Linked DNA regions of Lepisosteus oculatus. The protein of the gene in region 2 purifies or fractionates together with the protein of the main gene of each other region. This does not show direct contact. Links are inferred from orthologs where the notes say so. Each region holds a gene or a part of one and is shown on either strand. Other genes may lie near its edges. The genes, in order: timmdc1 and acad9.

Region 1 (8,098 bases), on a different chromosome or scaffold from region 2:
TGAATTCAAAGTCACTGATCTTATATGCTGGTTAGCCAGCTATACAAAAATATGTTCTGCTCCTGTCCCCGCTAGGTGGGATTGCAAATTTAGCCGTGAATGTCACTTTAATCTCAAAGTTTCTTTTATTCCATTTTTACATTTTGTTTTTGGTCTGAGCCGATTGCTCTATATGAGGGTAGGGCGTCTCCCATAAGCTCCTGTGAAGAGTTTTTGATCAAATGCAGAGCAGCTCAGCCAGAACCACATACTACGAGAACAATTTCAGGCCCTGAGAACACTGGCAAAAGTTAGTACATTCCAAATCTGAGAAGGGTATAACAGAACCACTAGTGTGGAAATTGTGATTCCTGGAGATTTGTTATGATAAACTTTACCAAGATTGTGTAAAACCATGTTGTAATCAAACAGACTACCAGAGATAAATACAGTACAACAGCCCTGACTTAACCCCTCTTGTGCTGGTATTATTAAACCAGTTCTTCTGCCAGACAGACGTTTACTCTTTTCTCTTTGCATTAAATGTTGTAAAAGAAATTAAGAACATTAACCACTAGTTGAAAGAAGATTACATTGATTATTTTTTAATATTTTTTTTTAATTATTATTTTTATTTAACTGAAGATTAAAGTGGTGTTTTAGTCTGGTGACATAGCTAAGAGACAAGATATTGTTACATACAGTAAGATACTTAGGTTGATTAATAAAATGATACATCTCAGTATTCATGTTTTATGAGTATTTTCATATTTATGTTTTAAGTACTTTAAGTGCATATATTTCCCATCTGTTTCTATGGGGTTTCCAGTTTTCTAGGGAGTAATTTTTTAAATATTTTAGTTTTTATGTGTTTTCCATCTAGCCATCTATCCCGGCAACCAACTGGCCCAAGGCAGGGTACCCCTTGGATGGGACGTTTGTCTATCATAGAGCAGACACACAGACACAAACGCACACTCATACCTAGGGCCAATTTTCCTACAAAGACAATTAACCTACCAGTTTGTTGTAGGACTGTAGGAGGAAACCAGAGTACCCAGGGGAAATCCAGGCAAACATGGGGAAAACATACAAACTCCATGCAGTTGGCAGGTCCCTTTCACTGTCCATTCTGAATAAATATGCAAGGTTATCTTTGTCAGTATATTCTGTCATTTAATGTTATGTATTCTAGCAGACTGTTTGCCATTTTAATTCCTTTCTCACATTGTGTAGAAGATGTAAATAATGTCTCAGAAGACACCTGTATGCAACTTTTTCATAGGTTACCTCTTCTTTCGCAGTGTTTCCAATTTTGTATTAAAAACTTATTTTTCTTTACTGGATGTAAAATCCCACACTTGTCTTCATTAAGCATTATTTTCCAGTTGTGTTCCCAATCTTTACATTTTATTTAAACCTTTTGGAATTTAATTTGCAGGTTTTACAGTGTTTGCCAAACCTCCTTAAGTGGTATCATCTACAAATAATTGATCATTGATATAAATTAAGAAGCGTAGTGGTCCTAGTACAGATTCCTGTGGTACTCCATTACGTCACCCCATGTTGTGTTTTCACACTAATGTATATCCTCTGTTTTTTTATTTAATAACGAATTTTCAATCCAAACACTAGTGTGTCTCCAAGTGTCATTGCATCAACTGAGCACTTGCAATTTAAGAGTTAATTTTTAATGAGGAACTTAAAAAAAAAAACTTCTGGAAATCTAAGTACACTGCATCATATACTCAGTTGGAGCTAAATTTGCAGTGCTTCAAATTTATTTATCATTCTTTACTGATTTCATATCTATCCCATTACATTTTACTTCTCATAAATTTGGTCTCATTCCTTCTAAGTCACCTTTCTAGATATTATAAATTTACAGTCTCAAAATATACCTCAAAGCACAATGATCACAGTTCCCTCATGGTTCTCTCATTTCTTTTGCACATAAATTCTTCAATTCGTTATGTGGTGTGGCCTGAGCCTAACCTGTGTATCATGCAGCAGAAATGTGTTAATGTGTCATACATGACTTTAATTGCTTTGAAAATGAATTATAGCACAGCTTTGCAAAAGCAGCAAGGTGCTGCAAGGTGCTGGTTTTGAGAAATCAGGGCCCAGATTTCTAACCAGGCTCTGGTTAATATTAGCATCCGAAATCATCCGGCACCAGCTCGCCTGCTGAGCGAGTGTCTGAAGAGATGTATGTTGCACTGTGAGGATGAGTATCCTAGACCTGGGAGATGAGGTTTAATTTGACAGGCTCATCTGAAAGGTGTTTAATCACCATTGCTGCCATAGTCCAGCATCACACGTCATCCTGATCACAGGACTGCCTACCTGTTAGCAATTTTTACAGCCCTGTTATCCTGTAGACATGAGGTGGGCGAAGCGATCTTCCAACCTTACATACTGTACTAAACTCCCTGCATCTCCTCCTTCTCATTCTGCAGGTGTCAGTCTTGGCATTATCGTATGAATAAACGCATTACAAGAGCAACGAATGCTACTGGTGCTAATGCTCATTTATTGCATTTTAATGCCTCTGGGTATAAATTTGTGTATTGCTGCACATGGTACAACATCAGTTCCTGACACTGGCACACATAGATCAGCTCAGCAATCAATATAGAATTCCATTTATCACTGTCTGGAAGGATCCCATAAAGATAATATACTGGCTAAGTTAGTTCCAGGCTCCCATGATCCTTTTGTTTAAAGAAAGGACCCCTGGGGCATATAGTAACTCTGAGCTGACCTACTGTAGCTACTGCCTTTTGGGATTTGGAATACAGCATAATCTTTTCTGTTCCAGGCAAAAAGTCTGACTCCCTTAATTTGTCTGCGCATGAGACTGCCTTCAGTAAAAAGTTAGTTTGGTTGCTCTCTTTTTTACTGCTCTAGAACAGCAATGTCTTGATGAGTGGTGACCGGAGTATACACTGTACTCCAAGTGAAGTCTAATGCATTGTATAATTTAACCTGACACCCCATCGATTCAAATAATACATTCTTCCTATATCAAAGTTTTGTTGGCCATTTTATCGTTTCTCCAAAGTGCCTAGCTGAAAAAAAAAAAAAGTTAACCTAAACGATCTTGCTCGGGATTTCTTCTTCCAGTTCGGTGCCACCTGTCAGAAACTTGAATTTTGTGTTTATAGTCATGCATGTATTAACATACTTTTATCCATTCAGCAGCACAAAATGAATGACAAACTTTTATTTCATGTCTGTTTTATCCTCATTCTCTTTTCAAGGCGTTATTTTGACTTTCCACGATTTTCATCGATTTACCTCAAACTAGGTCACTCGCTCTCGCGTCTTAAGCTCATTTTATATCCCTGTAGTTTCGTCCTCCAACAATAGGTGGCGATCTAATTATTTTCTGCTTCATATCGCGGAAACTTTCTCTTTAATTCTGACAACAAGCTTTGACATTGTGGGTTTCCCCGAGAAGCTGTTCTGGATAAGGTATAAATGTGCTTGAGAACGTTATGTCTGAATACATTCGTTAAAGTGTATCTGATTAAAGTTTAAAATCAATTTTCTTAATATCAGCGAATATGAGCCGTAGATGTGATGCGACTTAAGTGGTGTATAATATTTTTGTCGCTGTATAAATGTTATTTCAGGTACACAGATAAGTAGGTCGCTCTTTTCACACACATGCTTTAGCTTTCTAAAGTCCATTGTATTTGCTTCCGATTATTTTAAAGATAATTAAGCTCTTGCACCGGTAGCATCGCCTGTTCTTAAATTCCTTTCTGAAATGTATGCTAGTGGAACAGCTAATATCAGTATTATTAATTTTATACGTTCATAAATACTATTTCTATGGTGAAAATGAAAATTTATGCAACCTGTACATTGAGCTATAGTAGCATTTTTGTCATAATTGTAAAATGTATTACTAGTATAACCTTGAATTTTAAGTGGCCTGACCTTGACTTCCAAGTGTGTTTGCGTCTATATTATTAATTTGATTGAATACAGAAATACGTCTTACATTCTGCAGTATATTGAATTGAAATTTGATTACAGCCATTGCTTGAATTTTAGCCTATCTGTGGTGTACAGGTGATGCAAATTGAAGGTGTCTCATACAGTTGTGTTAGAAATATAAACAGACTAACGCAAAACAAACTTTTAGATGATGGGAAATTTTCTCAACTTTGAAGCACGATATTTCTCAGATAAGGTATTGCAGTGTTGTATGTTAATATTTTACAGTTTTGTTTTTTGATTGCTTTACTGCATATTGATAAGGTAACAAAATGAACTTGAATACATGTTACATTTGCTGGTGGGGAAAAATGATAGTAACAAAAATTAATGATGCACAGGTGCATTTCAGTAATATACAAGTACATTATTAACCGGTTTCTGTCTCAGCTGCTGATAAATACATTACAAATGATAAACTTTCTGGAAGAAATACATTTGTTTTACTTATTTTTAAATCCCGGAAGGGTAAGAATTAAAGTTTAAAAACATTCCAGAAGTATTTTGCTTTACAACACCAGAAGTCCAATTTCTAAAATATTTGGTGTATTTCAATATTTGTTTGTAGTCTTTCATAACAAATTAGAGTTACACACATTAGTTATATTGCGCTACAGAGTTTCATCTGTAGTGAAAACACAGATTTTAAGTTTGGGAGAGAGAAAAGGGTTCTGAGAAATAAGGCTGAGAAAGCGATGATCTTATGTTTTAGTTCAGAAGAATGTTGTTTTAGAACAGTATAAATATTAAACGAGCAATAACAATAAGCCAGTGACAGGGTTGGAATGTCCTCGGACCATGTCACAGAACAACTTCCAGGTGAGTGGGATAAGGCCTAACTCTTAGAGAGGTGAGTGTCTCCCAGGCAGGAGCTGTCCTGAAGTGGGTCAATACTGTATGTACAGTAAACCTCTTTGGGATGAAAAGCACAATGTCAGTTCCCGTTCAAGTTGTGAGGTGGCTTTGTGGCGTTTGTGACTCATGGTTTTGTTTGTGAACACCTGCCTCTCGGTGTAAAGAGATTGTGAACCAGCCAGCCCGTCCAACTAGTCCTGATATTTTTAATAAGAATCAAATGCAAATCACTGCACTCATGCGCAGGTGATTGAAATACCAGACCCACACCATTCTCAGCGGGAAAAATAAAGACGCTTAAGGGTATCCTCCTATCCGTCTGTGCTGGGTAACATTACTGCAGGAGCTTATTAAGAAACGTATTTGTCGTGAAGGGCTGTCTCATACCTTCACCTGACCTCCCAAGAGAGGAGGTCTTTCACACCTGTGGATACTGTACTGTGCACACATTTATTCATGTGTAGGTTACTCACCTGTGCATCTTGTCCATGCCATCCTGGAACTCACTGGGAGACGGGGACAGTATTGTTAGCATGACGCTGGAGCGGGGAGCTGAGTCAGCTGGCTTGGGCTGCAAAGGAACCAGGAAAGGTCAATTTAATACTGTGAAGTTGAAAGTAGAAACCGGTTGTCTGTCCAGCCTTCTTTTTTCTACTTTGCACAGTGGATGTAACCTTTACTTGTTCCTAAGCATTATTACCTTATTCATAATTCTTATATTGACATTATTGTTATTTTGAATTGTTTCTTGTTGTCTTTTCATATACATGCTTCCTAAGTTTATGTATTAACTGTTGTTGTGGATCCACAATCAGTCCGTATTGTTGTGTTTGTTGTTGTCCTGTCCATTGCACTGTTCCATGTTGGGTTACGGACCCCCAACCCACCTCTGGTTTTAAATAGGTTTTCAGCTATCCATCAGGGGGAGGTACTTAACCGGGCACGCACAGATTCACAGTCAGTGATAGTTTAGTTCTAGTCAAAAGTGTGACTTCAACCTTAAGCAAGCACACCTTGTCTTTGTGCTGTTCCCCAGCTCAGTTTTTCATAAAGCCTGTTAGCAGTGCTAATAGTTTGGCTATTACCTACGTTTCTCCTGTTTTTCTCACTTTTGTAAATATTTTTCTGCAGTGGAACACATTTGTGCACTATGACTGTGGATGCCCCTGTCCTGCAAGGGGGTAGGTTAGTCACATTTACAGGTATTATTCATTCACCTTAATGGGTCCCATATAAAGCGGTTCTTAAGAGATCTTTTATTTGTCCTATTACACGAGCTTCTTAATAAATCCTTAGACGTTTCATATGTACATTTGTATACACATACCTTAATCCTTAATACACAAACATCAACTAGGCATCCTTAATCCACAAATGCTGCAGTGAGTGATGATGCCCTCCTTCAGGAGTTTATGTTCAGGATTTTAAAGAGCCATGTGGTACTTCAATAAAACTGACTGGAAGATAATCCTCCTAAGTGCTTCCCTTCAGATGCACCCCTCAAACAATCCAGCGTTCTACTTAATGGGTCCCATATAATTATTTACATAATTAGATCATTTAAACCTCATCAGAAATGTTAACAGAACTTCTAATTAGGTTTGGCCAAATCAGCATGGGGTGCATTTTTATTCCAGCCATCAGCATAGCTAGGCCACCCAACAAGGAGACCATTGACAGAAAGGCTTGTTAACATCTGTGACACATTAGGATGGACTGTATCCTATGGTTAGAGAGTGTGAGGAGCACAGACGTGCTGTAGGTTAAATAAATCTTTTGCTTACACTGACAAAAACTCAAACAGCAGCTTTAATGAAATATATAAGATGTACAAGCAAAAGCTACGTTTAGCCTTGTTGTGAAACAGGAATGATTCCATGTTGGTAAGATGGAACAAAAAAAAGTTTTTTCTTGGTTCTCCAGCTCAAATGGGAGTGATATTATAAAAGGCTATTTACTTCGAGTCTTATTCCATCAGCCGTCTGGTTGTGCTCAGTTTGTGCTTTTTTTCCCTAAACCCACCACCATCCCCCCCAACTTTGGACTTTTTTTCTCACTGTCTTTTTTTTTCTGATTAGACAAAAACAAATTCTTACATTCACTAAAACGAATTAAAACACGAGAGAAAAGATTAATTCAATAACTTCCTACTGATATTCTTAACATCCATGCCATTCAAGTTTGTCTCTAATGGGCCTCAAACATTCCTATACTCAATAAGTTTCCCCTGTACTGTAAATTATATGAAATCTTTTCAAATTTAACTTGTGATACAGCCACTTTAATCCATTCTTTGTATGACGGTCCTTTACTGTCCACCCATTTTCGCAGTATTATTTTTTAGCAGTAATACAGAGTCAAGAAAGTATTTTTATACTGAATTGCTGCTTTAACCTTTGATAAATCACCAAGGATACATGTAATGGGAGTAAGTGGAATTGAGATATTTAGGTACCTGAGAGCTTTCCCCACTGTGGAGGTTCGAGCTTGAACATTAATTACATTTTCAAGCTGCATGACATCCCTGAAATTTTCAGCCTTAAAAAAAACATCAGAAATGTAGGCTGACAACAGTTTGACATAGGCCCAGGGGCTCTGCTTGCCTTGAACACAGAACTTGGTGAAAGCCTGGGCGGCCCAGTGGAACATTTTTGAGCAGCAGTATTTATAATCTGCATGAGATGTCAAGTATTCATTTTAGAGTTAACGTGCAGCTTGCTATGCTGGTTGAGAGATGGCAGTGGAAGTGTTGTGGGAGTTATCTGCAGCTGTATGTTTCCAAAAGGCATAAAAAAAGAAGCTCTTTCATTGTGGCTCCTAACTGTGTTACAGGCAGACTGGGGCTGCTGCGGTGCGATGGATCGCCAAGGGCTCCCAGCGAGCATGTCCGCATGTCCTCGACTTGACAAGCCTCCGCGGGGCTCCTCCTACTCCACACTCTTCTGGGGTCTCGTCCCCTTCCCAAGAGTCTTGGCAGCTGATGGCGTAGGTTCAGGCGCTCCTGCAGAAAATGCCGTGCAGCTACCACGATACATCAGCAAACCAGAGCTACCGGACACTGGCTGGGACCGAATAAAAGAACTCTTTGACAGGAGGTGAGTATAGTGTAATAATAATAATAAACTTTATTTTATATAGCGCCTTTAAAGGTGGCTTCTCAAAGCGCTTTACAGGATGACAATAACAATAAATACGAGAATACAACAATAAATAAGAAGAATACACAAGATAAAACACAATTACAATATATAGAGGA
Region 2 (7,722 bases):
GGATTTAGGTCTTAAGAACAGACTGTTAAAGAATTAGCACAGCTTTTCATGCTTGTCATGAGCCACTTCTATTCTTTCAGGCTCAGAACCCATTTTGTAAGTACAAGAGGAGAGAGGAGTGCTTTCATTTTAATATGCATTCTGTTTGTAAGTAGTTAATAAGACCCTATCGATGTAAAACTATAACTGTGATCATGTGGAGAACGCAAAATAAACAGTATAAGACTCCTGCATTTGTCATTTTTACAGGGTGAAAAAACCAACATGAAACTATTTCAGCATCCCATTTTCACAACATTTACTGTACATCTGTCACCCATAAGCAGCATTTACCTGTTGATCACACTGACATACTACGTGTTCTCCATATTCTGCATCAGGTGATCATTTTTTACTTTGTGAGAAGGATACATAGGTCATATTACAAGAAATAAAAAATGTAAAAGTCAAATATAGGCAAGAAAATATCTACAATATGTAAAAGCCCTGGATTGTGAAAGATTCTTCAGACCTCCTATTCAGACCTCCTATACGAAGTGGTTTTATAAATCTATACACTATAAAGCATTTTTCTATTTCCACCTTTACATTTTTTAAACGGTCATTTTGTAATGTCTAAATTTTGGTGTCTTTAAAATATGAAAATGGGGTTTAAGTTTATTGTTGAACACCTAAATTCGCATCCAGATTGTAAAGTAATTAAGAGACCAAGCAGATGTTGAGATGTGGTGGCAGTTGCATTGTTGTTTACAATCATCCTTGAATTTTGGGGGGTGTTCAAGCATTCCCCCAAATTAGGGGGTACATTAGGGGCATTTCCCCAAATTAGGCAGCACTACATATCCATAAGAATGGAAATTTAAAAAAGCTCAGGTGAAACTCAAAATAATGCAGAGTTTTAATGCTTAACAGTCTATACCTAATAAAAGCATTAAATTTCTTCTAAGGGAATAATTTATCAACTTAATTACTACAAAAAAAGCATACCATTATATTAATTTATTTGTTGGTATAATGGTGCCAGGAAAAAAGTTCTTTAAAAATACTTGCAAATCATAATTGTGGTTAGGAATGAGATTATTTCTTTTTCCCAATTGCTAACACACATACACACAGAAATCACACCATATTCCTGTGCTATAGTATAAAGGCTTTTCTTTGGTCAATTTAAAAAGCCATTTTATGGGCTTTTTTAAGTTTTTGAAAGACTTTCTCTCTCTCCTCTTCAAATCCTACCTCTGGGAGTTCTTACACATTGGGAAGCTTAATAAAGGTAAGCTGCACCCCAGGGTTGTGTGAATGACATGCACTAGTCTTTGAAAAGTGCTGTGGCTGTGGTGTGTATCTTAGCTCTCGGTGAGGTGAACAAGATTAAAATTGTAGGTAACCTGCTGGGGCAATGGTTGAGGTTTCTGTAAAGCCATTTTTACAATCCCCACACTATTAAATGAAGATAAAATGATCAGATCTTTATCTGTTGCATTACAGAACGTTCCTATAACCTGTATCACATTAGTACAGCCCCCATAGAAACACAGCCACAGTAGAAAGCTTGTATACCATGCATACTATAATGCATTCCTGCATTTGTAAGCTTTATAAATCTCTGGCATTGTCAGATAATCATGTCCTGTACTAAATTTAAAATTTGTACTGTGTTAAAATTTGATACCTACAGTTGAACATAAGGTGAGTACAAATTCACTTCATATATATCTGGTTTTGCAAAAATGTAATTTTTAATTCTACATAAAATGACATTCTGAGCACTTTGATGTACTAAATAGGTAATATTCAACAGATTTATTGTGCAAAAGTGAAGAGTATGTTGCATGTGTTTTAGAAATTACAATGATGATTTTTTTCAGTTGTAAAAAGAGGTATTGCACCTGGACTACAAAGCTCTATCCTTTTGTTATTAAAGTTATAACCTCATATAAAAATATTACACTGTACATACAGCATTTTTTAGAATGTGCAAAAACTATCCGGGACATCAGCTTAGCAGTATTTATTTGTTGAAAGACAGCTCGTGAACTTTAATGCCCCTCTGTTCCCGATAACAAAACAACACTGCTTGGTTTTGAATTCATTCCAGAATCCTAAAGCTATCAAAGTGACTGACAAGTCCAGCTTATGATGCTTTTAAAATTCATTCATGTCTTGTGAAGAAATGCAAATTTCTCAAATACTCTGAAAGTGTCAGCTATACTGACAAGGTCAGTCCACCAGATACTCAGTAAATTGCTGTACTTGTCACTTTGGTGCAACACTAAGAGTTTTACTCTGGGATTGGATATCTTAAGAACCTTGGTCTTGATCACATACAGTAATAAGGATATTTAATAGTAACGACAATCATTAAGTGGTGATTCAGAGTACAGAAAATCCAATTTAATAAACAAAAGGAAAACCTTTATAAACTAGAAAAATTATAATGTAACTATCATTTTTTAAAACATTTAAGTATTTTTTGCTAACAATAAACCAACATGTTCAATGTCCAGTACTAGAAGCCATCCAAAGACTTCACCTGCATGACTTCCACACAAAAAGCATAATACTCTGAAGAACTCAATTCAAATTTGCAGGCGTTTTAAGACTGAATGGATATAAACCATGCTTTGTAAAACACATAAATACACCCTGTTTCCCATGCATGGAATTGTATATTAAGCTTAATATGAAACTGAAGTATTCTGATTATAAAAAACAATAAATCCGTGGAAATGTGTATTTTTGGAACTGTGAAAATTTTACACTGCAGTAAAAGAAAACTGGAATGTTTTATGACCTTCACAAATATTCCATGAGCTATCTGAGACACAAGGTGTTTTTTTATTGAAAAAGCATAAAGAATTGTTTAGAAAAGGACACAGATTATGATTAGACCTGTGTGACATCCTCGAATAAATATAACCAGGCAATACAACATGCAGTACTACGAATTTGATTTTAGCAAAATAGTTCATGTAATATTGGTCATCAGTTTCTAAGCTTATTGCCTAGTATTACATACACTGTCCGTACAATTAGGAAGCAAACACACATGAGCTAATAGTATCTTCCTGAGCGATAGCGATTGGCCTGGACTGATTGACCACAGAACTGACGAGTAACCAGGGAGGAGACTGTAGATTACAAAGCCAACACTGGAATAAAATTATGTCTTAGGCTACTCCTTTCAGAACTTTGGAGATATGTATTAATTGCATGGTGCAATAAGAAGGAGAGAAACTTTGGAAGTGGATTTCAGGTGAGTGTTTCTTCTAAGAAATTTGGATCTTTAGAAGGAAATATATATTGAATATATAGTATATATGTAGGGCTCACACCCGAAGAAGGCTCCACAGCCGAAAAACATTGTGTTTACTTTCTTCTCTTTTCAGCATGGAATAAACCTATTACTTGTTCCTATATTGAATATATATACTGTATACATGTTTTTTTTTCTTTTCAAGGTCTGTTATGCACAGCTCCCTCAAAAATTCTTTATTTGAAAATGGCAATTGACTTTCTCTTGTATGCACTACCCTCTAGAAAATATCAGAAATTAATAACAGAGAACCACCATGTTAATGTTTTTGAATATTTTCCATTTCTCAGTTGCTACCCCAAGAATGATTACAGGGAAAGTCAACTTTAAAAACCTGAGAACACTGGCCTAAACATAAATTTCATATAATAAGCTTCTCCTCTGCCAATTGGATTATAGTGTAAAACGATATAATAAATCCACTTGTGATCTAAAAATCACAGTTAACAGGATTCCAAACAGGTGAATGAGGTTAGGTACAATGATATAAAATGATATAAACACCAGTGTGCAGCATGGAAAAGATGGCTGTTTTTCTTTTCCCACGGGATAATACAGCAAATGCTCAGGTCTGTACATCATCTGTACCTCCCCCCCTCTCTCACCATCTTTAATCTCACGAGGAATAAATTATTTCTACTTCGTCAGAGCATTTATGAAACAGAATTAATAATTTATCTTCATTGATATTTTTGAGAATCTTTTAGTAGGCTCTGGGCTAGACTAAAAATTAAACGTGAGCGTGCAAGATGTGTTATTGTAGCTTTTAGGAAGTCAAATGTATTGAACATATTCAGTGTCAGTACTTCGTGCAGTTTAGAGTGTGGAGATGTTGAGTCAGTCTTTATTAACTGAGCCTCAAAGACCAAGCAGAGGTTAATTCCACATGGAAAAGAAAATGAAAGATAAACGTGTTTCTACTGGGAATCTTTTCATAAACATGAAGACAGCTACACAGCCAAAATGTAATGTATCAAATATTACCCTTGGTTACAACAGAAGCAATCAACAGCGTCAAAAGAAAATTATTGGTATAAATTATCCCAGCTACCAGTTTCAGTGTTATGTTGTGTATCCTTAAAGGACAAACAAATCCATTCTTTGTAATTGTCTCACTGGTCTTCTAGATTAGTCAGCTGCAACTGAAGTGAGCTCCACATTGTATTGAAATTTTCAGTCCGTCTTTTTGAATTGCTTTAGATCGCAGTTGGTTAAAGCGCTCCATCTTGTGGTTGTGAATAGTATTGCATGGTATTTTTGTTCCACGTCTGCTTATGTCATCACACTGCGACAGAAAGGGGTGAAAGGTCTTTGGAGGGCTGAAGGAGAAAAGTGCTTTGAGTTGGCTGATATGACAATGAGCTTGAACGGGCTTTTTAGGTTTTCTAAATCAGTGAAATTATGGAGGAATCTGTTGACCCTCCGAGTTGGACTAATAGGAAATGAAGGTTACAGAGCTTGTTTGCAAACTCAACGGTATTTCAAGACTCATGGGAGGAGTCTGGCGTATGCTAAGGACCTGTTTCTTGGTCAAATCAACAAGGTAAGTAGTAATACAGATTCACTTACATACCTAGTCGGTGTTTGTAAGCCACGATTAAAAAAGTTCAGTGTTCTGATAAGCTGTATTCTGTTTTCATCAGAATATCTTTCGAATTGTACTTGTGTCTACTATACAAATTCTACCACATATATATTCTGCTTAGAAAATATTGGAATTAGAATAGATTGTGTTTTAGTAATGTATGACACCACCTTATTTTGGAGCAATAACGGATGTTAAATTAGATTGCAAGTTTTTTATATATATATTTAAATATGTCATGTATAGTTCAGGTGGGTAGTTGCGTCAGCATGCGTAGGCTGCAAAGGAACAATTAATAGGTTTATTCCATGCTGAAAAGAGAAGAGAGAAAACACAACGTTTCGGCCGTGCAGCTTTCTTTTACCATTTCTTTCTCTTCACAATATAATACAGCAAAGTAATATAGCAGGACGTTTTTCGCGATTGTTACATTAGCACAATAACGTATCTGATCATCATTTGTTTAGTGTAATATATCTAAGAGAATAATCAGTCTGGCGTACAGTACAAGTAGTGTATCTGACTTTACTGTCTTTAACAGTGTTATGATGTAGAATGGATTCTTGACAGTATACATTTCCATATATGTGGAATCCATTTGAGTGTCTGGTGTAATTAATGCATTGTCTTCTTTTGTAGAAAGAAGTTTTTCCCTATCCAGAAATCAGCAGGGAAGAACTAGAAGAAATTAATCAGCTTGTTGCACCAGTGGAACGTTTTTTCAACGAAGATGGTAGGCGGTGAGGACAAGTTTGGAAACAGAACAATTGCAAAATGGCTACATGAGTTCGATACCCCAAAGTTGAAACCTGGCGAGACCCTGGGAATAAAATAGCTTTCTTTAAGTATAGTGAGAATTCAAGGTAGTGTGCATGGTCTTGGCTCTATTAAGGCAAAAGCAAATATGATTTTTGAAACACCTCAGTTACAGTCAAATCTAAAGGCAGTTAGATCATAATTAACTCAATTAACTCTCATCCTGAGCCTTTAATTTACTTTAGATAAATCTCAACGTATGACTAATGTGAAACTACACTATAATTCTATTTGTAAAACGCAATGTATTTGAAGTTTAGTTCATGTCCTGTATTCTTGGTATACCAGACCATATTGGGCCATAAACAAATGCTATTTTTTAATTATCTGCATAATTATTTCTCTGAAACTTTCATGTTCCCTTTTCCAGTGGATTCCAAAAGGATTGACCATGAAGCTACAATCCCTCCAGAAACAATGACTGGATTAAAAGAACTAGGTCTCTTTGGAATCCAGATTCCTGAGGAATATGGTGAGGAGGTTAAGACAGATATAAGGAAATAACTGCCTGCTCATGCAATATTTTAAGCGTGTCGAGTTACAGATGTGCGCATCAAATAATTTAACAATGCAAATAATATGTAGTCACTGTGTCAGTGCCAATAGACATATTACCATACATCCATCATTGCCAACATTGTCTTCTCCCTCTCTGTGATTCTCGATCCACCACATTAGTCCCCTCTCAAGGAAGAGAGGTTTCTTCCTTCTCAGTTGTTTTTTAACGCCGTTCCATGTATATAAGATCGCGCTTTTGTATTTGCTCAGTTACCTTCTATTTCTTATTAAGAGTTCAGATGAAATTGATTTTTTTTTTTAATCGGAAGGCACTGAAATTTAAATTTAACATCACCCATTTGCAATATTCACATGAACTCAAAGATACTGGAGTATTCAACATGGCTTAACCCCTAATGCTCAGTTCTCAATCTTCACATCAAATACAACAACAACTGTGCCGCTCTTAACCAAGCATGTGGTCTTTTTTTCCTATTGCCGACTCTTCCTGCCAATCCGATTTGGCTGGAAAAACGCACCTCTTTAATCAAAACCTGCACTCCTTATACAGCAGCAGCAGCCAGTTTGGGGTTCTCTCAAATGTCACATTCTGGGACTGCCTATCTGCTGATGTTGAGACACAGGGATGAGTCAGGATTCAGCCCGTCATCTTAACTCCAGTTTCTCTTGCCTGTGGGAGGAGAGTACACTACAATAACAAGCAATGCCCGACTCCTGCAGGTCCCAACGCCTCCCATCGGCCTTGGTTGAGAAGGTCCACCCACCTCTCTCCTCCACAGTGCCTTCATCCTCATGAAGCCTGGCTGACATTCTGCCAAACAGCCACCTGTCCAGCCCCTGTGGCAGCCCTCGAGTACAGACCCAAGCTGTATCTTCTCAAACACCCCTAACCTGCTGAGTCTCCCAGGCCTTTGAGCCAGTATATCCATTACTTCTTACTAATTACTCTCATTTACCCTCTTCTGACAGCCTAGATTTTAGACACTGTCTCTGGAGCCCTTTTTCTTCTGCCTGTTCTTATAAGCCTCTTAATTAGCCCAGTGGACTAGCACGTTCTTCAACGATCCTGTCCTTCCAGTTTAATTACTCAATCAAGAACAGGACTGCCTCGTTCCATGGGTTTGTTTCCATTAACAGATGGCTTTTTCTCAAAGCCCCATCTCTCTTCACAGGCTTGCGCTTTTGATCTGAACCATTTCTATCCAAATTAAGTGTGGATTGTTGTGATCATGATATTTAACCAACTGATCTTTTGATTTCAAGCCCATCAGTGTGTTCAAATTTTGATTGGAACGGTTTGCCATAATTCATGAGAAAAGCGTCTCATCTGGGACTCAGTTTGCTCATGTTGTTGCACTTTAATCGTTGCCCCTCTGAATATGGCGTAAAAGTGTGAGTCATATGATGTCAATGCTCTGTCTCTGATACGTTTCAAAATATGTATTTCAAAGTTTCTGATGAGCATTGCTGAGGATCCTCTACCAGG

Evidence for each region.
Region 1: the proteins of acad9 (region 2) and timmdc1 purify together in Homo sapiens (affinity purification with mass spectrometry; 3 studies listed by BioGRID and IntAct, counting the BioPlex papers as one, with this or other methods). This does not show direct contact. The link is inferred for Lepisosteus oculatus from reciprocal best matches to the Homo sapiens genes ACAD9 and TIMMDC1.

Annotation. Positions count from the first base shown.
Region 1 is NC_090710.1:18,098,785-18,106,882, forward strand, and holds the start of timmdc1 (complex I assembly factor TIMMDC1, mitochondrial), read left to right. Parts: upstream 1-4,770; 5' UTR 4,771-4,785; coding exon 4,786-4,806; intron 4,807-5,987; exon of another isoform or gene 5,988-6,002; coding exon of another isoform or gene 6,003-6,023; intron 6,024-7,674; coding exon 7,675-7,937; intron 7,938-8,098.
Region 2 is NC_090699.1:62,456,842-62,464,563, reverse strand, and holds the start of acad9 (complex I assembly factor ACAD9, mitochondrial), read left to right. Parts: upstream 1-4,606; 5' UTR 4,607-4,667; coding exon 4,668-4,859; intron 4,860-5,540; coding exon 5,541-5,634; intron 5,635-6,087; coding exon 6,088-6,189; intron 6,190-7,722. UniProt on the Homo sapiens protein: As part of the MCIA complex, primarily participates in the assembly of the mitochondrial complex I and therefore plays a role in oxidative phosphorylation.